Linked DNA regions of Macaca mulatta. The protein of the gene in region 7 binds, or shares a complex with, the protein of the main gene of each other region. Links are inferred from orthologs where the notes say so. Each region holds a gene or a part of one and is shown on either strand. Other genes may lie near its edges.

Region 1 (3,500 bases), on a different chromosome or scaffold from region 7:
AGGAGATGAAACTAAACCTGACACAAAATTAAACTACAACTTTGATGAGGGAAAGTTACACAGTTTCAGCTCCTCACTGAGACACCTGCTGGATCATCCTGCCCCGCCTGGCCTCCAGCAGCAACCCCAGTGAACACTGAGAAGATGGACTTCGGGCAGCACCAGGGCCTGGGCCTGCGGCCCACAGCTCTCAGGCCACAGGATTGATACCACCGTGCCTGCCAGACACATGGACACCTGAAAACCAGGCCTGAAGAGGTCCATGCTGGACTATCAGAGGCCAGGTTGGGGGTGTGCATGGCACCCCCCCAAACTGCTGGAGAAAGGATGGCGGGCACTGCTGCTGGGCACGCTGGCAGGCCTGGGACTCTGCGTTGCTGCCACCCTTCCCACCCTCTCCTCGGGGTCACCTCCCCCTAGAGCCAGAGGCACTGCAGTCAAGAGACGACACGAGGAACCCTCCACTCCAGGCAGCTGTTTGGGTTCGTCTCAGTTGCCAAACGGAATAATTTCACACTCTGATAACCTGATTGTTTTTTAAGCCTTGTGGTATTCTTAATTGCCCAGTGTTAGATAAACTGTGATTTAAGGAGCACAAACCCAGATAGCAGGCACACAAAACACTGGCTTGGGAATAGCAAGGAGTGACTTATTTACTTTAGCAAAGCCTTTTATAAGGTTTTATGGCTGCACTATCAGAGTGTCACCCAGAAGTCACTCTGGGAGGTGGACGCACAGGGGAGGACCAAGGGAGCACCAGGCAGACACAAGCCACCCTGTGGGGAGCCTCTCTCATCTGTCAGGGGCCCGCGGGCAGGGGAGAGGAGGTGCCCCTACAGGCAGGCCTACGGGGGCAGCACCCAGACCTCTGGAGACCAAGCACCACTGCCACCCAGTGCTGGGGAGAAGGGATGGAGAGAATCAAGAGCCAGCACTAGGAAGGCTGTTGTCTCTGCATGACCCATGGCAGGGCAGGTGGAGGGGAAGCCGGGCACGTAAGGTGAGGCCCCTCGCCGCTGGGGTCAGACACACCACCTCCGCCAGGTGAGCCCATGTCCTGAGCTGCAGCCTCAGGAGTCCAGGGTTCTTCTAAGAACTCCCTTCACCCCTACATGGTCACTTCCCAGCCTCCTGATGCACACTCAGGCCCAGCTCCTTCTCAGACTGTCATCCTCTTTCTAGAAGGAAACAGAGACCCTGTGGGTTGGGGATGGCCCCGAGCTCCCTGCTGTGCCCCGCACGTGGCAGGCCTTTGCCCACATGTGCCTAGAATCTGCACGCTCTGCCCCACGGCTCCAAGCAGCTGCCTTCGAGGTTTCAGAGTCATGTCCCCAGCGAGTCTCTGACCCAGCGGCCAGCACACCCGAGTGTGAATCACATGGTGTGAGGTCACTCACGGATCTCTGCCTCCCCTTCACACCACGTCTTCTGAGACAGCCTCCAGCAGTCATCGTGGCACCCCTGGGCACACAAATTAGGCTCCAGTCTCCAGCTCTGGATTATTTACGGGCCACAGAGCTGCAAGTGATTTCTTGCCCCAACATAAAGCCTCTTGTCCAAAGGGGCTTCGCTTACCACTTAAAATTCTGTGTGAACCAACATCAGCAAATCTATCCTGTAACCCAGGCCTGTGTAGGTGTAAACTAAAAAATTGCAGAGACGAAGAGAGCAGCCTCCTAGAAGAAGCCGGAACAGAGGAAGGGCTGAACCACACCCAGGGGATCCCTGGGGAGGGAGGGAAGGAGAGAGAAACAGAAAAAAGAGAGAGAGAGAGAGAGAGACTGGCTGTCCCTCCCCAGGGCTTTGGGACAGAAGCCCACAATGCTGCAGCACCCTCAGGTTTGTCTCTGCCGGGAGAGGCGCCTGCCCCGGACCACAGCAGGAGTGACAGCAGCCGAGGATCGGGGGAGCGCACCCTGCCGCCGGGCATCTTTACAATGACCAGGGAGAGGCAGACAGACTGGAAAAAGAGCCCATGAGGACCCCAAGGGTCAGCAATCCTGTGGGGACGCCTCACTCACTTGGCCACGGCCAGGAGCACATGAGGGTCATGCTCACACTTCTTCAGGGCATCCACGCTCTTGGTCCTCCTCTGGGGCCTCGCCTCGAGGAAGATGGCCTCAGACCACAGGATACCTGCAATTCAGAAACAAAGAACAAAGATCTGCACTCCAGCCTCTGGTTCCGGAAAGGTGCCCAGCCTACAGAGATTCTAACCCAGGACGTCCTCAGACGGTGACGGGGCCTCCCACACACTGCTTGCAGAACTTGTGCAAGAACCACGAAGGATGAGTGTTCTGGCCCACCCAAAACCATGGCAGCCCCAAGGGCACAGACAGGACACTCTGCAGAGTTTCACTCTGTCGTTCAGGCTGGAGTGCAATGGCGCGATCTTGGCTCACTGCAACCTCCCACTCCCAGGCTCAAGCAATTCTCCTGCCTCAGTCTCCCAAGTAGCTGGAATTACAGGCGTGCGCCACCATGCCCAGCTCATTTGTGTATCGTAGTAGAGACGGGGTTTCACCATGTTGGCCAGGCTGGTCTCAAACTCCTGACCTCAGGTGATCCACCCGCCTCGGACTCCCAAAGTGCTGGGATGACAGGCGTGAGCCACCGCTCCTGACGGATTTATTTGTTTTTTGAGACAGGGTTTCACTCCTGTGGTCCAGGCTGGAGGGCAGTGGTGTGATCTCGGCTCACTGCACCCTCTGTTTCCCAGGTTCAAGTGATTCTCGTGCCTCAGTCTCCCAAGTAGCTAGGATTACAGGCACGTGCCACTGTGCCTGGCTACTTTCTGTATTTTTTATAGAGACGGGGTTTCACTATGTTGCCCAGGCTGGTCTCAAGCGACGGACTCCTGGACTCAAGCGATCCTCCCGCCTCAGCCTCCCAAAATGCTGAGATTACAGGCGTGAGCCACCACACCTGGCCAATTTCTTTTAATTTTAAAAGAAAAAGAAATGATAACACTTCAGAACATGAAATCAAATTCTCCCATTTTGAGGCCAGGAATTTCATTAAAATGTCTTAATGGCCAAGTATAGCTGAAACTTTTGACTGAAATGATTCACACAAACAAAACATTTTAATAAAGTCTGTCGGAAGCCTGAGTCCCCACTCCCTGAGGAAGCGCCAGCCCTGTTGAGTCTGGGAAGCCAGAAAGCACCCCCTTACCAGAGTTAGGGCACTCCTGCAGCGCCTTGGCCATGAGCGTATTTGCGATGTTCTTCAGCCCTGCACGGTACTCCAGCCGCACGGACTCCAGCCTGAGGAGACAGGCCCCGGGAGCTCCCACAGCCATCTACCAATGGCGCATATTCTGGAAGCTTCTGGGAAGCCTTGTCTGAAAAGGCTCCCCACCCAGTCACAGCAGCAAGAACTCCATTCCCTGCACAGCACAGCTCACCCACCACAGAAGCAAGGCACTGCCGCCCACATCCCTGCCAGCCCCACTGGCAACCGCCCCAAGGGCAACACCTCAGAAACTGACGCTGTCCAGA
Region 2 (3,223 bases), on a different chromosome or scaffold from region 7:
AGGGGAATCGCTTGAACCCGGGAGGCGGAGGTTGCAGTGAGCTGAGATAGCGCCATTGCACTCCAGCCTGGACAACAGAGCGAGACTCCGTCTCAAAAATAAATAAATAAATAAATAAATAAATAAATAACCCAGACAGCAAGGAACATTTCCCATATGTGAAGCCTGTGGTACTAGCTACCAATTCCCCAAACGCAACCCCTCTCCCCAACACCTTGGCTCCGGTATATTTTGTAGTACAGGCTCCCAAGAGAAAGAATGCATGAAAGTACTTTGTAAACCATTAAGTGATACAGAAATGTGATATGATAAACAGGCTCAGAGTTCTTACTTTCGTCATAGCTTTGGCTACTTCAAGCAAATTATAGCTCTTTTCTCAAACTACTCCCACCCCTATAATTGATGCCAAAATGTTCTGAAAAGAAACACAGGCAAAATGGTTATCCTAGGGCTAAAAATCCTGATTATACCTACCTTGAGGTTTTTAATCCAGGACCCTACTTCACCACCCGCCTTCTCTGTCACTGTCTCTACAAAGGAAGGACACGAATTAAGACTTCCAAAAGAACAAAATATTTATTTTTTAAATTTAAGAATTATCAGACAGCTAAGTAACGGGAATTGGATCCTCATCGGGGTCTTCTGGCAAGTCGGAAGCACCACCACCCTCTCCTGTAGCTCGATGCTTCTCTAGTTTAGCAATCAATTCTTTCGCTGGATTGAAGACGCCATTGGTCTGCTGGTCACAGACATAGCAGCGCGGGGTGGTGCGGAAATGCTGCAGTGCACAGCTCTCGCAGAAATAATGCCTGCACTTGGTGACAACTGGGTTTTGGAAGCTCTGGCGACAGATGAAACACTTGAATGGTATTTCCTCATCATCGCTTCCCACTTCATAGTTTTCATCCTCATAGACACCATAGCGACCCTCATCAAGCTCACGTTCGATCTGCCACCCATGCTTGTAATCTGAACGGTCATGGAGGAATTTGCAGCTGTCTCCGAAGCCGCAGAAGCCAGTCTCTTTGTAGTCCTTACAGATGTCGGGCTGGTAATCCCAGCGCACCGTGGCACGTAGATGCTCGGGCGCTCGGATGGGGCCCTTCCTCACCATCCCGGAAGAGGCATTGCCCATAGACGTATCCTTGGGCTTCATGTATTTCTGATAATTGTTGATTCCCCGATAGATCTTGTCATCCTCCTTGCCCCTCAGCTCCTCCTGGATCTTCTGGCTGCGCTCAAAGATGGCTTGTGCATCGCGCTCTTTCTCTGTGTCCAGCTCATAGACAGCTGTCGCCCCCATATCCTCTGGTCCCACGGGTTTCGCCGAGCGGGTGGATTTATAAACCACGCCGAGACTCTCGGGCTCATTTTCCTCCTCCTCCTCGCTGCTCAAGTCGCCGTAAGCTGCCTTCTGTTTACCACTGTCACGAGTCTTCTGTATCATTGGATTGTGAGTCGCCCGCTTCTTTTCCGGTCGAACCACAGTGCAGCCTTCGTCGCTACTGCTGCCGCTGTCTCCGGGCTCTGGGTCGCAGGCCGGGCGCTTTCTGCGTCCAGCAGCCCCTTTCCGCCCAGGCTTTTTGAAAAGGAAGGTGCACACCTGATCCGCCGTCTTCCCTGGAGAAAACTGCTCTGCCATTTTAGAGTCCCGAGCTCCGAAACGGCCGTCGCTGCCTGGGTTGCACTTGGCCTCTGCGCGTTACTCCACGTCGCGCGCTCCGCCGGGAGTCGAAGCAAAAGACACTGACGGAAGAGAACTGCGAGAGCGCGAGCGCCAGCCTCTCTTGAGCCCTGGCAGATCCCGTCGCTTCCTCCGGAGCCGTACGTGGCACCGCCCCGCTCGCGGGCGGCCGCGGGGCTTACTGGGAAGGGAGCCGAAGCCCGGTCACCTTTCAAGGACCCAGAAGTAGGGTTTTGGCCTAGATAACGGGGCAGAGATGTGGTTCGAGATTCTCCCCGGACTCGCCGCCATGGGCGTGTGCTTGTTTATTCCAGGACTGGCTACTGCGTACATCCAGAGGTTCACTAACGGGGGCAAGGTAAGGCGGCTTCCTGGGCCCGGGGGCTGACTCCACTGGCTGATTTCTGAAAAGGATGGTGGGCAGAGAGTCCGTCAGCCTGCGGACCCTCTCTCCGAGGCCGGCCCTCTATTTTCTTCCGGTTGCCTAGAAGCCGAGGCTTGCGAAACGAAGCGCGGTAGAAACCACATCCTGCTCTGGTGAAAAACAGCGTTTCTGGGTGTATCAAAGTGGGCCTTAGGGCAGAGTAGCGACGCGGGGGCCGGAAAGGTAGATTAGAAGAGGTGGCTCAAGCCTGAGAATCCCTCACTGCAACCTCCGCCTTCCGGGTTCAAGAGATTCTCCTGGCTGGGCGCGGTGGCTCACGCCTGTAATCCCAGCACTTTGGGAGACCGAGGCGGGCGGATCACCTGAGGTCGGGAGTTCGATACCAGCCTGACCAACATGGGGAAACCCCATCTCTACTAAAAATACAAAATTAGTGGAGCGTGGTGGCGCATGCCTGTGATCCCAGCTACTCGGGAGGCTGAGGCAGGAGAATCGCTTGAACCCAGGAGGCGGAGGTTGCAGTGAGCCGAGATCGCGACACTGCACTCCAGCCTGGGCAACAAGGGCGAAACTCCGTCTCAAAAAAAAAAAAAAAAAAAAAAAAAGATTTTCCTGCCTCACCCTCCTGAGTAGCCGGGACCACGCCCGGCTATTTATTTATTTATTTTGGTAGAGACGGGGTTTCATCATGTTGGCGAGGCTGGTCCCGAACTTCTGACCTCAGGTGATCCACCCGCCTTGACCTCCCAAAGTGCTGGGATTACAGGCGTGAGCCGCCGCTCCCGGCCACCCTTGACTTTTTTATTCCCCACTTTCTCTTGCAAGCGTTTAGGAATTTACTGCAAGGTCTTGTGTTTTACATCAGGATTCATTTTCCCCTCTTAGCCCTTCACATCATCTCTAGAGTACAGAGTATAAATTTATTTACTTTTTGAATTTGTGATTGTCCACGTGTGATCTACAGCTGTTGTTTCTTAGTGTCCCAAAAGGCAACAACTAGATATTTCTTTTTTTTTTCTTTTTTTTAAAAAGGAAAAGAAATTCATGTTGGTTAAAATAGTGTAAGAAGTCACGGTCACCAACTTAATCCTAAAGTGTAGTGGTCTGATTTTATTTAGGAGATTCTGTTCTTGTACTACTAATTTGCATTTTTA
Region 3 (4,044 bases), on a different chromosome or scaffold from region 7:
GACATCCTTTGCATTTTTTTTTCTAATTATTTCACTTTGATTTGTAAATTCTCAACTAGATTGAGGGGCTGTATGGGTTACAATTCCTCTGCATCCTCCCCAATAAACTTGGTGGGAATTTCAGACTTTTTGTTTGTTTGTTTTTTCCGAGACGGAGTCTCGCTCTGTAACCCAGGCTGGAGTTCAGTGGCGCGATCTCGGCTCACTGCAACCTCCGCCTCCCGGGTTCAAGCGATTCTCCTGTCTCAGCCTCCCGAGTAGCTGGAACTACAGGTGCATGCCACCACGCCCAGCTAATTTTTGTACTTTTAGTAGAGACGCGGTTTCACCATGTTGGCCAGGCTGGCCTTGGACTCCTGGCCTTAAGCGATCCGCCCGCCTCAACCTCCCAAAAGGCTGCGATTCCAGGCGTGAGCTACCGCCCCCCCCCCCCCCCAATGAGCTTGATTCTTTCTGCTCCCCTGTGAACCCTACTGGTTGTCTTTTTTCCTGCTTTATCCCTCGTCCTCGGTAGACAGTGGGCACTCAATAAAGAATGGTTAAATGAATGAATGCGGCCGGGCGCGGTGGCTCAAGCCTGTAATCCCAGCACTTTGGGAGGCCGAGACGGGCGGATCACGAGGTCAGGAGATCGAGACCATCCTGGCTAACACGGTGAAACCCCGTCTCTACTAAAAAATACAAAAAACTAGCCGGGCGAGGCGGCGGGCGCCTGTAGTCCCAGCTACTTGGGAGGCTGAGGCAGGAGAATGGCGTGAACCCGGGAGGCGGAGCTTGCAGTGAGCTGAGATCCGGCCACTGCACTCCAGCCTGGGCGACAGAGTGAGACTCCGTCTCAAAAAAAAAAAAAAAAAAAAAAAAAAAAAAAAAAGAATGAATGCATGAACAAATGACCGTCCTGGAGCTAGTACTGCATTGCACGTATACATTGATGACAACAGACATCGTACAATGCGCAATCTTGGCAAATTTATTAAAAGCTTCCAGACTTCGGTCTCTCGCAGGGCGACGCCGGGAGCCTATCACACACTGAGGTCTGTCGGGGGCCTCAGGAACAGCCTCGGAAACGTGGGAGGCGGGGCTTCCCCGACCACACCCCCTTGTATTCAAAGCCTTTCCGCCTGTGGGCCCGCCTCCTCGGCGCAGTGTGCCACTCTAATTGGCCATCTTACCAATCCATCTGAGCACCTCGGCGCCGATTGGATCAACTGCTGAAGTCGGGTTGCGCACTTTCCGGCGCTGGGAACGCGGAGCGGACGCACACTGGCCGCCATTGCGCTCCGGAGAAAGCGGCCCCCTGTGTGAGGGGTTGTGGGGTGCGTGGCAGGCGTTTAAGGCCGGGCTGCGGGAGGCGTGGTCGGGTCGGGCTGAGTGACCGAAGGGGTTAGGCCGGGCGGGGCTGGATGCACTCAGTGTGGCGGGATTGCAGGCCCGGGTCCCCGGACGCCTTTCTGCTGCGCTTCTTGTGGGCCCGGGCCTGTGGTTAGTGAATTTTTCTGTCCCGCCGCTGTCCAGATTCTCCGGGTATGGCCGGAGTATTTCCTTACCGAGGGCCGGGTAACCCGGTGCCCGGCCCTCTAGCCCCGCTACCGGACTACATGTCGGAGGAGAAGCTGCAGGAGAAAGGTGAGTCGAGTGTGGAGCGGCGCGCGAGCCGGAGGCGGGGCGGGTGTTCGCGCGCGCAGGTGGCTGGGGACCCTCCCCGTTTGGGCAGCTCCCGAGGTGACAACTCCCTTGTTAGCCCCATTTAACTTTTTATCAAGTCATTTTAAGCGCGTGTTATCTGCAAGCGCTGATCCAGTAGTGATGGAGACAAAATTCCTGTCCTTACGGGGTTTAAATTACAGCGGGAGAGAAAGACAGTAACAAAACCTTGAGGATCTGTAATAAAAATGTCAGGCCGGGCGCAGTGGCTCACACCTGTGATCCCAGCACTTTGGGAGACCCAGGCGGGCGGATCACCTGAGGTCAGGAGTTCGAGACCAGCCTGGCCAACATTGTGAAACCCCATCTCTACTAAAAATACAAAAATTAGTCGTGTGTGGTGGCGCGTGTCTATAATCCCAGCTACTGGGGAGGCTGAGGCAGGAGAATGGCTTGAACCCGGGAGGCGGAGGTTGTAGTGAGCCGAGATCGCTCCATTGCCCTCCAACCTGGGTAACAGAGCAAAACAACGTCTCAAAAAAAAAAAAAAAAAAGTCAGATAGTAATAAATGTGATGAAGGGAAAAACATAGTAAAGTGGTAAGGGAATTGGCAAGGAGTGTTGCTTCCTGCTGGATGCCTGCTCCTCTGTCACACTCACTGACAGGAGCTTACCCTAGGGCAAGAGGTGAAGAGGATTAGGCTGAGGGTGTGCAGTCCTTTAAACTGAGGTGCCTTTGTAGCCCGAAAATGGCAGCAATTGCAGGCGAAGCGCTATGCAGAAAAGCGGAAGTTTGGGTTTGTGGATGCCCAGAAGGAAGACATGCCCCCGGAACATGTCAGGAAGATCATTCGAGACCATGGAGACATGACCAACAGAAAGTTCCGCCATGACAAAAGGGTTTACTTGGGGTAAGGAACATCCTGAAATAACTTCATTTGGAATTTGGTTCTTTTCCCTTTTCCCTGTCCCACAGTCTTGGATAGATGCTCTGTCATTTTGGAACAGGACGCTGCTTTGACAGCTCATCTTGGTGGATATAAGAGAAAGGAGAAAACCAGTAGGAGTCTCTGATAATTTCTACATCTTCCACTTACGCAGTCTGTTTCCCTTCTGTTCCTGATCTGGGCCTGGGACTTTAATTTGTCCTGTTGATGCTGTTATAAGATATCCCTGTCGTTGAGCTGTTTGAAGCCCAGAGTGGGAGACTGTGCATAGTGGCAGCCTGTCACTCCTCAGGGACCTGAATTCTGTGTTTAGGGTATTTAATTTCAGAGGTATCCCTACTGCTGTTTTTCTGTGGCTGTAAACTGGGTGGGTACAGGTACAGATGTCTTAGCAGATTCCTGCTCTATTTGGACACAAAAACGTTTGCCGTGTAATGAACTGGAAGTTTTGTTTATTTCAAAAAATAGTTTGAGAACTGTGCTGGCTGCTTGGGGTATAGTAGCGAGCAGAGGGTAACAATCTCCGCCTTTCTGCAGTGTGCAGTCTAGTGGCATGACAGACATGAGACAACTGGTGATAGTGAAGTATGGTGAATACTTTATTATGATTTATGAGAAGATACTGAGGGAATAGGATGTGAGACAGCCGCAAAGCTGTCTCCAGAGGGACAGCTGTTGATTTAGAGGAGCTGATACCAGCATTGTGGGACTATGACATTTAAGAAGAGTGCTGAGGCTGGGCGCGGTGGCTCAAGCCTGTAATCCCAGCACTTTGGGAGGCCGAGACGGGCGGATCACGAGGTCAGGAGATCAAGACCATCCTGGCTAACACGGTGAAACCCCGTCTCTACTAAAAAATACAAAAAAAAAAAACTAGCCGGGCGAGGTGGCAGGCGCCTGTAGTCCCAGCTACTCGGGAGGCTGAGGCAGGAGAATGGTGTAAACTCGGGCGGCGGAGCTTGCAGTGAGCTGAGATCCGGCCACTGCACTCCAGCTTGGGCGACAGAGCGAGACTCCGTCTCAAAAAAAAAAAAAAAAAAAGAAGAGTGCTGCAAGATGAAGTTGTAGAGGGAGAGGCAGGGTTTCTGGTTAGGAAGGGCCTATGGGCTAAGTCTGGGAGTTTGGATTGTAAGGTAGGATTTACTGTGGAACATGAACGTGTGGCTTCTCTGCATGGGACAGGTAGCAGAACACCTCGTCATTTCTAATAGCCTTCTCTTTTTCTAATGTGCCAGTGCCCTAAAGTACATGCCCCACGCAGTCCTCAAACTCCTGGAGAACATGCCTATGCCTTGGGAGCAGATTCGGGATGTGCCTGTGCTGTACCACATCACTGGAGCCATTTCCTTCGTCAATGAGATTCCCTGGGTTATTGAACCTGTCTACATCTCCCAGTGGGGGTGAGAAAGGCTGAAATATGGTGGGCAGTGGTGGTGGTGGTTGGGGGCAGTGG
Region 4 (3,500 bases), on a different chromosome or scaffold from region 7:
GCTCCCTGCAACCTCCACTTCTTGGGTTCAAGGAATTCTGCCTTAGCCTCCAAAGTAGCTGGGACTACAGGTGCCCATCTAAATTTTGTATTTTTTGTAGAGATGGGGTTGCACTATGTTGCCAAGGCTGGTCTCGAACTCCTGGGCTCAAGCGATCCACCTGCCTCAGCCTCCCAAAGTGCTGGGATTACAGTGTGAGCCACCACGCCCGTCCATCCAATAACTCTTATGGAGAAGGCACTGCACCCTCAACTTCTGGGCTCAAGTGACCCTTCTCAACCTCCTGAGTAGCTGGGACCAAAAGTATATGCCACCACACCCAGCTAATTTTAAATTTTTTGTTGAGATGGGATCGCCTTGTGTTGCCCAGATTGGTCTCTAACTCCTGGGCTCAAGTGATCCCTCTGCCTTGGCCTCCCAAAATGCTGTGGTTCTAGTCTTGAGCCACCACACCTGGCTTTATTTTGTTTGTTTTTTTGTTTGCCTTAATGTTCCATACAGGATTTATTTCTTTGCGGGCTATTTTTCAGGAAGGTGGAGTTAAAAGACCAAACGAAACCTACACCACTGATCCTGGATGAGCAAGGGCGCACTGTAGATGCAACAGGCAAGGAGATTGAGCTGACACACCGCATGCCTACTCTGAAAGCCAATATTCGTGCTGTGAAGAGGGAACAATTCAAGCAGCAACTAAAAGAAAAGCCATCAGAAGACATGGAATCCAATACCTTTTTTGACCCCCGAGTCTCCATTGCCCCTTCCCAGCGCCAGAGACGCACTTTTAAATTCCACGACAAGGGCAAATTTGAGAAGATTGCTCAGCGATTACGGACAAAGGTATCTGGCTTATAGTATAACACAGAATTTAGAAAAAGTTAAGAAGCTGAAAGGAAAACATTGTAAAATCTCTATGTTCTAGGAAATTAGATAAATAGGTCATTTAAAGCAGCAGTCCTCAACCTTTTTGGCATCAAGGACTCATTTCATGGAAGACAATTTTTCCCCTGGAGTAAGGATGGTTTTGTGATGGTTTAAGAACATTACCTTTATTGTGTACTTTATCATTATTATTATTTTTGAGATGGAGTTTTGCTCTTGTTGCCCAGGCTGGAGTGCAATGGCATGATCTCGGCTTACTGCAACCTCTGCCTCTCAGGTTCAAGTGATTCTCCTCGAGTAGCTGGAATTACAGGCATGCACAACCACGCCTGACTAATTGTGTATTTTTGGTAGAGATGGGATTTCTCCATGTTAGTCAGGCTGGTCTTGAACTCCTGACGTCAGGTGATCTGCCCACCTTGTCCTCCCAAAGTGCTGGGATTACAGGCGTGAGCCACCACACCCGCCTTTTTTTGGCAGGGGAGCGGGGACAGAGTCTTGCACTGTTACCTGGGCTGGAGTGCAGTGGTGCAATCTCAGCTCACTGCAGCCTCCACTTCCTGGGTTCAAGCCATTCTCCTGCTTCAGCCTCCTGAGTAGCTGGGACTACAGGCGTGCGCCACCATGCCTGACTAATTTTTTGTATTTTTAGTAGAGACAGGGTTTCACTGTGTTGGCCCGGCTGGTCTTAAACTCCTGACCTTGTAGTCTGCCTGCCTTGACCTCCCAAAGTGCTGGGATTACAGGCGTGAGCCACTGTGCTGACTTCTATTATTATTCTATTTTAATATATGATGAAATAATTATATAACTCACCATAGTCTAAAATCATTGGGAGCCTTGAGTTTGTTTTCCTGCCGAGACGGTCCCATCTGGGTGTGATAGGAGACAGTGACAGATCATCAGGCATTAGATTCTCATAAGGAATGTGCAACACAGCCCCCTGGCATGTGCAGTTCACAATAGGGTTCACTCTCCTATGAGAATCTAATGCCACCGCGGATCTGACAGGAGGTGGAGCTCAGACCATAATGCAGGTAATAGGGAGCAATTGTAAGTACAGATGAAACTTTGTTGGTTTGCCTCCTGCTCACCTCCTGCTGTACAGCCCAGTTCCTAAAAGGCCACAGACTGGTGGGTTGGGGACCCCTGATTTAAAGCAATGAATAATTTGAAAATATGCAGGACGAGGTGGCTCAAGCCTATAATCCCAGCGCTTTGGGAGGCCGAGGTGGGTGTATCACAAGGTCAGGTGTTCGAGACCAGCCTGCCCGACATGGTGAAACCCCATCTCTACTAAAAATACAAAAATTAGCCGAGCGTGGTGGCGGGCACCTGTAATCCTAACTACTTAGGAGGCTGAGGCAGGAGAATCACTTGCAATTGGAAGGTGGAGGTTGCAGTGAGCCGAGATCGCGCTACTACACTCCTGCCTGAGCGAAAGAGCGAAACTCCGTCTCAAAAAAAAAGTTTTAAACAGATTTTACTTCCTAATTAGTTTCTACATAAGTGGAAATACTCAATTGAGTTTGAAAATTCTCCACATACAACTAAGTGGAGGGAAACAATTTGAAACACTCTGACTGACTGAGGAAGACTTGCCTGGAGTTAAAATTTCCTGCAGAAAGTACACCTGGAGAGTTGAATTGATTGTATATTGAATGACCTTTGCCTTCTTTTTATCCTCTCAGTGAGGTTTTCATAAAATTCTATTTCTGTGTATTTACTGCAGGCATATACTGTGGAGTGAAGGGAGAGGGTGAAGGTGAGGATCTATGTAAATGAACTAAATAAAGGATAAAATAAAGCAGAACAACTCCTTTCTAAACTTTCAGAATGAATTTGTTGCATTAGGTGTAAAGAGTTCAAAGGGGAAATGTTTTAAAATTTGGGATTATTGGCCAGGCGTCATGACTCATGCCTATAATCCCAGCACTTTGGGAGGCCGAGGTGGGCGGATCACGAGGTCAGGAAATTGAGACCATCCTGGCTAACACGGTGAAACTCCTACTCTACTAAAAATACAAAATAATTAGCCAGGCGTGATGGCAGATGCCTGTAGTCCCAGCTACTCGGGAGGCTGAGGCAGGAGAATGGCGTGAACCTGGGAGGTGGAGCTTACAGTGAGCCAAGATGGCGCCACTGCACTCCAGCCTGTGTGACAGAACGAGACTCCGTCTCAAAAAAAAAAAAAAAAATTGGGAATCTGGCCCCGCACAGTGGCTCATGCCTGTAATCCCAGCACTTTGGGAGGCCGAGGCAGGCAGATCACCTGAGGTCGGGAGTTTGAGACCAGGCTGACCAACATGGAGAAACCCCATCTCTACTAAAAATACAAAATTAGCTGGAGTTGGGGGCGCATGCCTGTAATCCCAGCTACTCCAGAGGCTTAGGCAGGAGAATGGCTTGAACCTGGGAGGCAGAGGTTGCTGTTAGCCAAGACCATGCCATTGTACTCCAGCCTGGGCAACAGAACGAAACTCCATCTCAAAGAAAAAAAAAAAATTGAGATTCTACAAATTCTGTTTTCTATGATTCCAATTTATCTTTCTGTCTTGGATTATCTTGTTTTTAGGCTCAACTGGAGAAGCTACAGGCAGAGATTTCACAAGCAGCTCGAA
Region 5 (4,176 bases), on a different chromosome or scaffold from region 7:
TTCCTCATATGTATAACAGCAATAGTACATATTACTAAGGAGTGTTTGAGAAATCAATCAATAAATGTATTCAGAATAGTGCTTAGTCAATAGGTCTTCAGATATTATTTTTCTTTCCTTAAGCACCTATCATACAACTGGCCTATACTAGGTATTAGATACACAGTAGCATATCTAATACGTAGGTTTCACCATGTTGGCCAGGCTGGTCTCAATCTCTTGACCTTGTGATCCACCCACCTCAGCCTCCCAAAGTGCTGGGATTACAGGCATGAGCCACCATGCCCAGCCTATGGCCTGTTCTGTTTTTTTGTTTATTTTTTTGAGATGGAGTCTCGCTCTGGTCGCCCAGGCTGGAGTGCAGTGGTGCCATCTTGGCTCACTGCAAGCTCCACCTCCTGGGTTCATGCCATTCTCCTGCCTCAGCCTCCCAAGTAGCTGGAACTACAGGCGCCCGCCACCACACCAGGCTAATTTTTTGTATTTTTAGTAGAGATGGGGTTTCACCATGTTAGGCAGGATGGTCTCAATCTCCTGACCTCGTGATCCGCCCACCTCGGCCTCCGAAAGTGCTGGGATTACAGGCGTGAGCCACTGCGCCTGGCCTGGCCTGTTCTTTTTTGAGACAGTCTTCCTCTGTCACCCAGGCTGGAGTAAAGTGGTACAATCATGGCTCACTGCAGCCTCGACCTCCTGGGTTCAAGTGATCCTCCCACCTCAGTCTCCCGAATAGCTGGGACTACAGGCATGTAAACCACATCTGGCTAATCTTTTATAGAAATGGTTCTATGTTGCCCAGGCTAGTCTCGACATCCTGGACTCAAGTGATCCTCCTGCCTCAGCCTCCCAAAGTGCTGAGATTACAGGTGTGAGCCACCATGGCCAGCCTAGTACTTACTCTTTATTTATTTTTTTTGAGACAGAGTCTCACTCTGTCACCCAGGCTGGAGTGCAGTGGTGTAATCTCAGCTCACTGCAACCTCTGCCACCCAGGTTCAAGCGATTTTCCTGCCTCAGCCTCCCAAGTAGCTGGGATTACAGGCACCTGCCACCATGCCTGGCTAATTTTTGTATTTTTAGTAGAGACGGGGTTTCACCATCTTGGCCAGACTGGTCTTGAACTCCTGACCTCGTGATTCACCCACCTCGGCCTCCCAAAGTGCTGGGATTACAGGCATGAGCCACACGTCCAGCCCATGAGCCACCACACCTGACCAGTATTTACTCTTTAAACTGTATATTGCTTTGTATTGTTTTCCAATACACAATACAATCCCCAAGCTTATCTGTAAATTTAAGGCACAAGGCATTTATTTATTGTTAAATTTTAAAATTTGTCTTAGAGATGGGGTCTTGCTCTATTGCCCTGGCTAGAGTGCAATGGAGTAATCACTGCTCACTGCAGCCTCAAACTCCTGGGCTCAAGCAATCCTCCCTCCTCAGTCTCCCAAAGTGCTCGGATTACAGGCGTGAGCCACTGCACCCCACCCATTTATTTCTTTTGTTTGTTTGAGACAGAGCCTCGCTCTGTCACCCAGGCTGGAGTGCAGTGGCGTGATCTGGGCTCACTGCAAGCTCTGCCTCCCAGGTTCACGCCATTCTCCTGCCTCAGCCTCCAAAGTAGCTGGGACTACAGGGGCCTGCCACCATGCCTGGCTAATTTTTTGTATTTTTAGTAGAGACAGGGTTTCACCGTGTTAGCCAGGATGGTCTTGATCTCCTGACCTCGTGATCCGCCCACCTCAGCCTCCCAAAGTGCTGAGATTACAGGCGTGAGCCACCGCACCCGGCCATTTATTTCTTCTGTACATATTCCACCTCACCCAGCCCTCAAATATTTCTCAAATTAAAGAGGTTCCAGGGCCCTGGGCACACCCACCCCCAACAGACTTGTTGGAACAGGTACCTACCTCAGGTCATTCTTGAGTTCCACGACCACATCCTTGCCCACAAGGGACTTGAAAAAAGAATAGAAGAGCTATTGGGAGAGAGGGGGAAAACCATCATGTGGGAAGGAACATGGTAGGGAGGAGTGTCCCTTGACAGTATTACCAAATACCGGTATTGTGAACCCCATTGCATCCCTAACAGTTCTCAAAATTTCACAGGAAAGAATAATTGGTTGAGAGGTGAAAGGCTGGAGCCCAAATTATTCTGCACACTGCATTGAGCCCATCACTTAAAGTCCCAGAGAGGCTCTGCCCTGCATACCTCGGCCTCCCCAGTGTGCTCTCTCAATCGACCACCTTTCTCGGGTACCTGCCCACTCCTTTCAATGAATTACAGAAAACATCCCACCCGCACCCTGCCGAAGCTTGCCTGGCAGAGAAGTGCTCTAAGGTCTAACTTTTCCGTCTCCCGCTGTCCCCACTGAATCTCTCTCAGGGTTGGGGTTTTTTTCCTCATCATGGAAAAAAAAAATCCCATTTGCTCTCAGGTGTCTCCTCAACGAACTTGAGGAACAGGACTAACGATGAAGATAAAAACTCCGGACCTAACTCCAGCCTAGGGGGACAAAGGCCAGACCCCCCTGCCCCAACCGTCCGAGATCCCCGAGGGCGACCCCTTTTGACGTCACGGTACCCACCATGGTGCTGGCGCAGCGGGCAGCGGGCCGGAGCGAGAAAAGAGCCGGATGCTGAGACCAGGTCTGGGAGAACCGAAGCGCGAGCCCGCGCGTGGGGCGAGGCGGGACCGCGCAGGCGCAGCGGGAAGGGACGCAGAACCCTCCAAGCGCTGAAGGGTAAAGCGCGGCCGACTTGCGGCTGGGGAGCGCAAGCTGGGTAAAACCGAGGGGAGGAGGAAGCCGGGAAAGGGGCGGGGTTTCCTTCGTTCCGACTTCTTCCAGGGCCGGCCGGCTCCCATTGCGCAGGCGCGGACCCTAGCCTGGGCTGCTAGGCGGGTGGAGGCACTCGGCGTCTGAGCTCAAAAGGTTTTGTTTTCCATAACCCTGCCGTCCACAGCGTGATGTGTTCGTGCCCTCTACACACATCCTATCGAGAATTGTGGGGAGTTTGTGAAGATTATGAAGTGTGCACTTTTCTATATTTGTTAAAGTAAAAACATAAAATTCAAAAAATAAAATTAAAAAATGTTTTTAATCTTAAATTCAGCTGATAAAAAAAAAAAAGGCCGAGGGCGGTGGCTCACGCCTTCAATCCCAGCACTCTGAGAGGCCAAGGTGGATGGATTGTGTGAGGTCAGGAGTTCGAGACCAGGCTAGCCAACATGGTGAAGTCCCGTCTTCACTAAAAATACAAAAAAAATTAGCCAGGCGTGGTCGCGGGCGCCTGTAATCCCAGCTACTCGGGAGGCTGAGGAAGGAGAATTGCGTGAACCCGGGAGGTGGAGGTTGCAGGGAGCCAAGATCATGCCACTGCACTGCAGCCTGGGCGACAGAGCGAGACTCGTCTCAAAAAAAAAAAAAAAATTGGCCGGGCGCGGTGGCTCACGCCTGTAATCCCAGCACTTTGGGAGGCCGAGACGGGCGGATCACGAGGTCAGGAGATCGAGACCATCCTGGCTAACACGGTGAAACCCCGTCTCTACTAAAAAATACAAAAAACTAGCCGGGCGAGGTGGCGGGTGCCTGTAGTCCCAGCTACTCGGGAGGCTGAGGCAGGAGAATGGCGTGAACCCGGGAGGCGGAGCTTGCAGTGAGCTGAGATCCGGCCACCGCACTCCAGCCTGGGTGACAGAGAGAGACTCCGTCTTAAAAAAAAAAAAAAAAAAAAAAATTGACCGGGCGCAGTGGCTGACGCCTATAATCCCGCACTTTGGGAGGCCAAGGCAAATGGATCACCTGAGGTCAGGAGTTCTAGACCAGCCTGGCCAACATGGCGAAATCCTGTCTCTACTAAAAACCCAAAAATTAGCCAGGTGTGGTGGCACGCGCCTGTAAACCCGGGAGGTATAAGTTGCAGTGAGTGGAGATCGTGCCATTGTACTCCAGCCTGGGCAACAACAGTGAAACTCTTGTCTCAAAACAACAACAACAACAAAATGTTGAGGCTTGTAAATCCCAGCATTTTGGGAGGCTGAGGCAGGAGGATCATTTGAACCCAAGAGTTACAGTGAGCTACGATCTCCCCACTGCATTCCAGCCTGGGCAAGACTCTGTCTATAAAAAAGAAAATTATAAAAAACAAAAAAATGTTGAGGAGTCCCAGAGATAAG
Region 6 (4,125 bases), on a different chromosome or scaffold from region 7:
TGTTTCCAGACTAACTTTCTTCCTGAAGTTCACAGCTCAGCTCTAACCCAGCATGAGGCCAGTGGGCCTTGTGGAAGCAGCAGATCAATACAACACATCCAGGAAAAAATCGTATCAAGTCCAGCCGAACATCTGCAACTGTTACTCACTTTAAAACAGCTGGGACATCGACAGGACTCTTAACAAGATAAGGAAGATTCTCCATTATCTGCCATTTCTGCACAGGGAAATTTTTAAATAGTTATATTGTTCTTTATACTAAAATCTTACATTTCAAAAATTTCTGTTGAGTTTCCCCAAAAGAGCTTCCAGAATTAGAAAGTCATATTTTGCCCATATACTAAGAAGAAAATAAAACACGAATAGTCTTTTAATGCATTTCAGGTTTGCACTTATTTTTGGAGACAGGGTCTCACTCCTGTTGCCCAGGCTGGAGTTCAGTGGTATAATCATGGCTCACTGCAGCCTTGACTTCCCGGGCTCAGGTGATTCTCCCACCTCAGCCTCCCAAGTAGCTGGGACTACAGGCATGTGCCACCACGTCTGGCATTTGTACTTTTAGTAGAGAACGGGTTTCACCATATTGTCCAGGCTGGTCTCGAATTCCTGGGCTCAAGTGATCTGCCTACACTAGCCTCCCAACCAAAGTGCTGGGATTACAGATATGAACCACCGTGCCTGGCCTAGGTTTGCGCTTTTAATAATTATACTATAATATTTGCATTAAAAGTTTATTAATAAAGCAATCCAAATTTTTGGACAGAAACAAAAATCAAACTATTTTAAAAGACCAAAAAAAAAAAAAAAATACCCCAAAGTGAGCCCATTTCAACTGTCCTTAAGTGTGTGTCCACTAGTGATACAGTGATTCATTCTGTAATAACAAAGAAATCGGACATAAAGGAATTGGAAAAAAAGAGCAAATCTGGCAAAGACCCTAACACTTACATTAACACATAAAATCTGTTTCCTAGCTAAGAGCATCTTGCTGAGCTCTGCCTGGATGTGATGAGACAAAGGCCCTCACATCGCCAGCCATCCTAGCCTCGAGCTGCCGGCAGCAGGATCTGAACACCAGCTGATGTTTATGCCACCACCTGCAAGGTAGAACAGTGAAAGATTCTAGAACTCGTAACTCAAAGTCAGTGATTTACAAGCAGTGATTTACTTATTGGGAAACTGCTCTTCGTCAATTCTTCGCTGGATTTCCAGTATCTGCCCTTGTCCACTACAAGTCAAGCAATGAAAAGCTGATGTGCTGGCACTGCCTCACTCATCATCTCTAATCCCTGGCTGGCAGAAGCCCCAGTGTGAGAGAACTGCTGCTCTCCTGATTCCCTAGGCAGCTCCTCAAGTCCTCAGTGTCCTGCTGTCCAAGAGGAAGAGGCTGGGAGATGGCTGGTAATAAAGCACTCCGCCTCTGTCCCTGACCCCCATGGAAGGGTTTCTGAGTGTGTGGTTCAAGGTCAGGTCACATCAGAATTCCCTGAGGGGCTTCTTTAAAAAGCCATTGCTGGACTTCACCCCACACCCATAGACTCAGAATCACAGATGCATTTTAGTAAGCACTCCAAGAGATTCTTGTAATAACTAAAATATAACAACAGTTCCTAACATCACACCTCTCCTACTAAATAAGAAATAGCAAGAATTAATAAATGGCAGGCCAGACAGTCTTTCCTTTCCTCAATATAAAATGTCTTTATATCTGTTACTCTTTACTCAAAGGAGTTATTTTAACCCAGCCTACTTTAGCATCTGTGAAAGAAAAGATAGCTTCAATGTTACTTTTACTCTTCATCAAAATGAATAACCGCTCAAATTACTTACGGAAAATTAATATGGCAAATATTTTATTAACACCCTAGTATTTGTGCCCTTTGCCCTATTGCTACAGCTGCAAAACCTAAATAAACGCCATCCTAAAATTGCTGTGAGGAACCACAGAAAAAGAATGAAACCTGGTTATAGTGTCCCACAACTTTTATTGTCAGCAAGTAAGTGCCAAGGCCACTCAATGTACTAATATTAGAAATTCAGAAAACTAGTTCCAACAAAGCATAGTTCTATTTTCTCCCGATGTTTTCTGCATCTTAATCACTCTAAGCTATAAATCACATGACTTACAAAAAGCGCGGTGGAAGAAAACACCAACAGAAAAACAGGATTTCTTATGCTATTAACATGAAAGTTCTGCTTTACACATACAACAAACAAACAGGGCACCAGAAAAGGGCATCCTTTTAAATTAAGGATCTGCGCTCTCAAAACCTGCAAGTGTTACTTTGTTCACTGCACTGTAAGATTGGGAAAAACGCCTTACCAACAGAAATAATGAATTCCTTCGAGGGGAGGGGGATCATAAACCCTTTAAAACGTGAACAACTACAGGAGCTCCCTGCAGAAAAAGGCGCGAAACGCCGGCACAGTCCCCGAGAGCGCTCGCCCGCAGCGCGGGAAGGAATCGCCCGGACAACCGCGCCGCGGCCCCTCCTCGGGGAACGGCTCGCGCCCCCAGGCGAGGCCGGCGGGGCAGAGGCGCGGGGCCGCTGCGGAAGCACAGCCAGCAGGGCGGGAGGGCCCGGCGCGCTACCTTCTCGGCGATGCTGTATAGGACCTCGTCCATCTTCATGCAGGTGGGGTCCCAGTCGTGGCCGAAGCGGATGACGACCACGCGGTCCTCCTCGGAGAGAATGGCCTGGTCCACCTGCCAGCCGTTGTGCAGGTGCGGGAGCATGTACGACATGGCGACCCGCGCGCTCGCCGCCGCCCGAGGCCGGGCGCCAGGGAGGGCCCAGCGAGGTGGTGGGCTCAGCCGGCCCCTCACTCCGCGGCCCCCGCCGCCCCCGGGCCCACAGCCGAAACCCGGTCCCACCCACACCCGCAAGCTCCGCTGGCACTGCCGCCGGGCGGAACCTCTGGGCGCGCACGCACCGACGCCGTGCGTGCTGACGTCATGCGCACGGGCTGGCGCCGTGCGTGCTGACGTCACGCGCGTACAGACGCCGCGCTAGCTTGTCGTTGGCCGGCGGGAGCGGCGGCGACCTGGCCACGGTGGAGCGCGGTTGGTGCCCTCCTAGCCGGCGTCGGAGTGGGGGTTCCTCCCCAGCGTCCAGGCGGCCTGGTGGTCCTGAGAAGCCCCGGGCTCGCCGTGCCCTGCCCCGACGCACCCGCCCCGAGGCCGCCCGCCGCCGCCCGGGCTGTCCTCCAGCCACGGATGGGGACGTCTTCAGAAAGGCCCGGCATGCCCGGCACTGCGGCTCGTTTTTTTCCTTTCTGGTGTCTGTTTCGGGTCATCGTTTGTGCTGTGTGTTAGCGAGACGGTTCGTGTGTGTCATTTGTGAAACTTGACCATAAAAATGTGTCGTTGTTGCCATACCCAGCCACGGCAGAGCCGAGCAGCGGGGTGGGGGGAAGCACTGGGCAGGCCGTCCTTGAGGAATGTCACCGTCAGGCCGGCTGCTGAGCTGCCTGTTGTAACCCGAAACCAGAGTTTTTGTCTTTTTATAAAGAAAAAAAATTTTTTTTGAGACGTTGTCTCGTTCTGTCGCGCAGGCTGGAGTGCAGTGGCGTGATCTCGGCCCACTGCAGCCCCCGCCTCCCGGGTTCAAGCGCTTCTCCTGCCTCAGCCTCCCCGTAAGCTGGGACTACAGGCGCCAGCCCGGCTAGTTTTTTTGTACTTAGTAGAGACGGGGTTTAACCATGTTGGCCAGGCTGGTTTCGAACCCCTGACCTCAAGTGATCCGCCCGCTTCGGCCTCCCAAAGCGCTGAAATTACTGGAGGAAGCCACCGCGCCCGACCTGAAGCCAGTTTTATTGCATAGCTTCAGCATAACTTGCACCTCCAGGACTGATCTGGCTCCCCCGGCTTCGCTCCCCAGACCCTTACTGGTGCCTATGAACTTTCTCCAAGAGAAATAATATTTCTCTTTTTAAAATAAAACCTCTAATCTCTGTTCTTCTGAGAGAGCACTTTGGGTTCATGTTAGAGACTCCCCCTGGTTTGCAAACTGACATTGACAGTAAAACTCTTGTCTACTATCCAGCCATCCTGGTGGTCCTTTGGATGACAAATTGACAACAAATCATGCCCGGGCGCGGTGGCTCAGGCCTGTAATCCCGGCA
Region 7 (2,054 bases):
TCCACCCGCCTTGGCCTCCCAAAGTGCTGGGATTACAGGCGTGAGCCACTGCGCCTGGCCAATCTTTGTATTTTTAGTAGAGACAGCATTTCACCATGTTGGCCAGGCTGGTCTTGAATTCCCGATGTCAGGTGATTTGCCCGCCTCAGCCTCCCAAACTACTGGGATTACAGGCGTGAGCCACCATGCCTGGCCCCAAAAGATATTTTGGTCAAGCGAGGCCAATTCATTTTAAGAGGCAGAGAAGAGAGCAACAGAGTGACAAGGCGAAGCTCAGAAAGATTAAAGCAGGAGAACTAAAATATTCTCCAGTGCCACAACTGGGTGCTCATTTCCATCCAACCTGTTTGCTTTGCGGAGGGGGAAAGTGAGGCCTCGATGGGGCAGAGCCAGGGCCTCTCCACTTGCTCACGGGTCCTGGTCCCAGCATTCAATTTGATATTAGCTGCCTCCCCCAAGCCCTCCTGAATCCACCCCACTCACAAGGCTCTGGGAACACATACCACTAGAAAAAAACCACAGAGCTTTATTATTCTCAACACCAATGGCAATGGTCTTCATAGGACGAGAGAGTGAGTTCTGTCGATGGATAGGCAGCCCCTACTTGCCGGCGATGAGCGGGTTCCGCAGGACCACGATGACCGAGTCCCCACGCAGGAACATCTTGGAGATGTAGCGGTCTTTGTTGACTGGCTTGGATTTCTTCTTGCCCTTGCCGCTCTTAGGGACCTCAGTCCACATCTCCTTCACGTTCTCCAGCACCATGTTGCAGTGCCTGGTGGGGAACAGGGAGGGGAGGCACTGGGTGTGAGGGGGGTGCCTCTGACAGCGCTGCCTGCTGCTCGCCCCCTCCAGCAGCATGGCTTGGGGAAGGATGCAGGTGCTAGGCTGGATGACCAAGCTGCCAAGGCCAATTCTGCCAGTCCTTAGGTTGAGGCTGAGGCAAAGGACTGCACCTCTCTGTGCCAGTTTGTTCATCTTTAAGAGGGAAGACAATCACAGTACCTTCCTCACAAGGTCGTTGAATATTATCTTTTTTTTTCTTTTTTTTTTTTGAGACAGAGTGTCGCTCTGTTGCCCAGGCTGGAGTGCAGTGGTGCGATTTCAGCTCGCCGCAACCTCTGCCTCCTGGGTTCAGGCAATTCTCGTGCCTCGGCCTCCTGAGTAGCTGTGAATACAGGTGTGCACCACCACGCCCGGTTTTTATATTTTTAATAGAGATGCCGTTTCACCATGTTAGCCAGGCTAGTCTCGAACTCCTGACCTCAGGTGATCCACCCGCCTTGGCCTCCCAAAGTGCTGGAATTACAGGCATGAGCCACCACCCTGGGCCATACACCCCAGGCGTCTGAGAAACCTGTCTTTGAGCTCTTCAGACTGGAGCTAGGGCAGCCTCTCTAGGCCTGCACAGAACACCTCCCAGGACCCAGCACTCACCTATCGAAGGCCTTCACACGGCCCAGGAGTTTCTTATTGTTGCGACAGTTGATGAGCACTTGGGTGTTGTTCTTGACTGACTGAGTGAGCACAGAGAGTGGACCCGTGTTAAATTCCTCCTCCTCTCGCTTCTGCAGCTCCTCTGGGGTCATCTCACTCTTGGGCTTGTTGAGGAGGCTCCTGCATGGATAAACATGGAACCCACAAGTGAGAGAGGCTGGAGCTGTGAGGATGGGTGGTCAGGGCCTCAGCCTCAATGTCTCCCCAGCCTTGTCCCATCACATCCGTCCTGTTTGGCCTTCTGAGTATCACCAGCTGGATGCCTAACAGACATTTTCTTTTTCTTTTCTTTTTTTTTTTTTTTTGAGACAGAGTCTTGCTCTGTTGCCAGGCTAGAGTGCAGAGGCACGATCTCAGCTCACTGCAACCTCTGCCTCCTGGGTTCAAGCGATTCTCCTGCCTCAGCCTCCTGAGTAGCTGGGACTACAGGCGCGCGCCACCTCCACGCCCAGCTAATTTTTGTATTTTTAGTAGACAGTGGGTTTCACCACGTTGGCCAGGATGGTCTTGATTTCCTGACCTCGTGATCCACCCGCCTCGACCTCCCGAAGTGCTGA

The links.
Region 1: SNRPD2 (region 7) and PRPF6 share a complex: the UniProt entries of both Homo sapiens proteins name them as parts of the U4/U6-U5 tri-snRNP complex. The link is inferred for Macaca mulatta from reciprocal best matches to the Homo sapiens genes SNRPD2 and PRPF6.
Region 2: SNRPD2 (region 7) and RNF113A share a complex: the UniProt entries of both Homo sapiens proteins name them as parts of the minor spliceosome. The link is inferred for Macaca mulatta from reciprocal best matches to the Homo sapiens genes SNRPD2 and RNF113A.
Region 3: SNRPD2 (region 7) and PRPF8 share a complex: the UniProt entries of both Homo sapiens proteins name them as parts of the U4/U6-U5 tri-snRNP complex. The link is inferred for Macaca mulatta from reciprocal best matches to the Homo sapiens genes SNRPD2 and PRPF8.
Region 4: SNRPD2 (region 7) and PRPF3 share a complex: the UniProt entries of both Homo sapiens proteins name them as parts of the U4/U6-U5 tri-snRNP complex. The link is inferred for Macaca mulatta from reciprocal best matches to the Homo sapiens genes SNRPD2 and PRPF3.
Region 5: SNRPD2 (region 7) and LSM2 share a complex: the UniProt entries of both Homo sapiens proteins name them as parts of the U4/U6-U5 tri-snRNP complex. The link is inferred for Macaca mulatta from reciprocal best matches to the Homo sapiens genes SNRPD2 and LSM2.
Region 6: SNRPD2 (region 7) and TXNL4A share a complex: the UniProt entries of both Homo sapiens proteins name them as parts of the U4/U6-U5 tri-snRNP complex. The link is inferred for Macaca mulatta from reciprocal best matches to the Homo sapiens genes SNRPD2 and TXNL4A.

What each region holds. Positions count from the first base shown.
Region 1 is NC_133415.1:116,916,315-116,919,814, reverse strand, and holds part of PRPF6 (pre-mRNA-processing factor 6), read right to left. Parts: intron 3,267-3,500; coding exon 3,175-3,266; intron 2,137-3,174; coding exon 2,022-2,136; intron 1-2,021. UniProt on the Homo sapiens protein: Involved in pre-mRNA splicing as component of the U4/U6-U5 tri-snRNP complex, one of the building blocks of the spliceosome.
Region 2 is NC_133426.1:126,364,799-126,368,021, forward strand, and holds RNF113A (E3 ubiquitin-protein ligase RNF113A), read right to left. Parts: upstream 1,858-3,223; 5' UTR 1,643-1,857; coding exon 608-1,642; 3' UTR 501-607; downstream 1-500. UniProt on the Homo sapiens protein: Required for pre-mRNA splicing as component of the spliceosome. As a component of the minor spliceosome, involved in the splicing of U12-type introns in pre-mRNAs. E3 ubiquitin-protein ligase that catalyzes the transfer of ubiquitin onto target proteins.
Region 3 is NC_133421.1:3,240,491-3,244,534, reverse strand, and holds the start of PRPF8 (pre-mRNA-processing-splicing factor 8), read left to right. Parts: upstream 1-1,244; 5' UTR 1,245-1,316; intron 1,317-1,515; 5' UTR 1,516-1,526; coding exon 1,527-1,626; intron 1,627-2,386; coding exon 2,387-2,555; intron 2,556-3,826; coding exon 3,827-3,991; intron 3,992-4,044. UniProt on the Homo sapiens protein: Plays a role in pre-mRNA splicing as core component of precatalytic, catalytic and postcatalytic spliceosomal complexes, both of the predominant U2-type spliceosome and the minor U12-type spliceosome.
Region 4 is NC_133406.1:116,799,243-116,802,742, reverse strand, and holds part of PRPF3 (U4/U6 small nuclear ribonucleoprotein Prp3), read left to right. Parts: intron 1-530; coding exon 531-837; intron 838-3,454; coding exon 3,455-3,500. UniProt on the Homo sapiens protein: Plays a role in pre-mRNA splicing as component of the U4/U6-U5 tri-snRNP complex that is involved in spliceosome assembly, and as component of the precatalytic spliceosome (spliceosome B complex).
Region 5 is NC_133409.1:150,509,289-150,513,464, reverse strand, and holds the start of LSM2 (U6 snRNA-associated Sm-like protein LSm2), read right to left. Parts: upstream 2,801-4,176; 5' UTR 2,591-2,800; coding exon 2,588-2,590; intron 1,979-2,587; coding exon 1,911-1,978; intron 1-1,910. UniProt on the Homo sapiens protein: Plays a role in pre-mRNA splicing as component of the U4/U6-U5 tri-snRNP complex that is involved in spliceosome assembly, and as component of the precatalytic spliceosome (spliceosome B complex).
Region 6 is NC_133423.1:1,023,969-1,028,093, reverse strand, and holds the start of TXNL4A (thioredoxin-like protein 4A), read right to left. Parts: upstream 2,801-4,125; 5' UTR 2,747-2,800; coding exon 2,594-2,746; intron 1,098-2,593; exon of another isoform or gene 985-1,097; coding exon of another isoform or gene 949-984; intron 1-948. UniProt on the Homo sapiens protein: Plays a role in pre-mRNA splicing as component of the U5 snRNP and U4/U6-U5 tri-snRNP complexes that are involved in spliceosome assembly, and as component of the precatalytic spliceosome (spliceosome B complex).
Region 7 is NC_133424.1:58,224,554-58,226,607, forward strand, and holds the end of SNRPD2 (small nuclear ribonucleoprotein Sm D2), read right to left. Parts: intron 1,753-2,054; exon of another isoform or gene 1,618-1,752; coding exon 1,438-1,617; intron 802-1,437; coding exon of another isoform or gene 776-801; coding exon 601-775; 3' UTR 501-600; downstream 1-500. UniProt on the Homo sapiens protein: Plays a role in pre-mRNA splicing as a core component of the spliceosomal U1, U2, U4 and U5 small nuclear ribonucleoproteins (snRNPs), the building blocks of the spliceosome.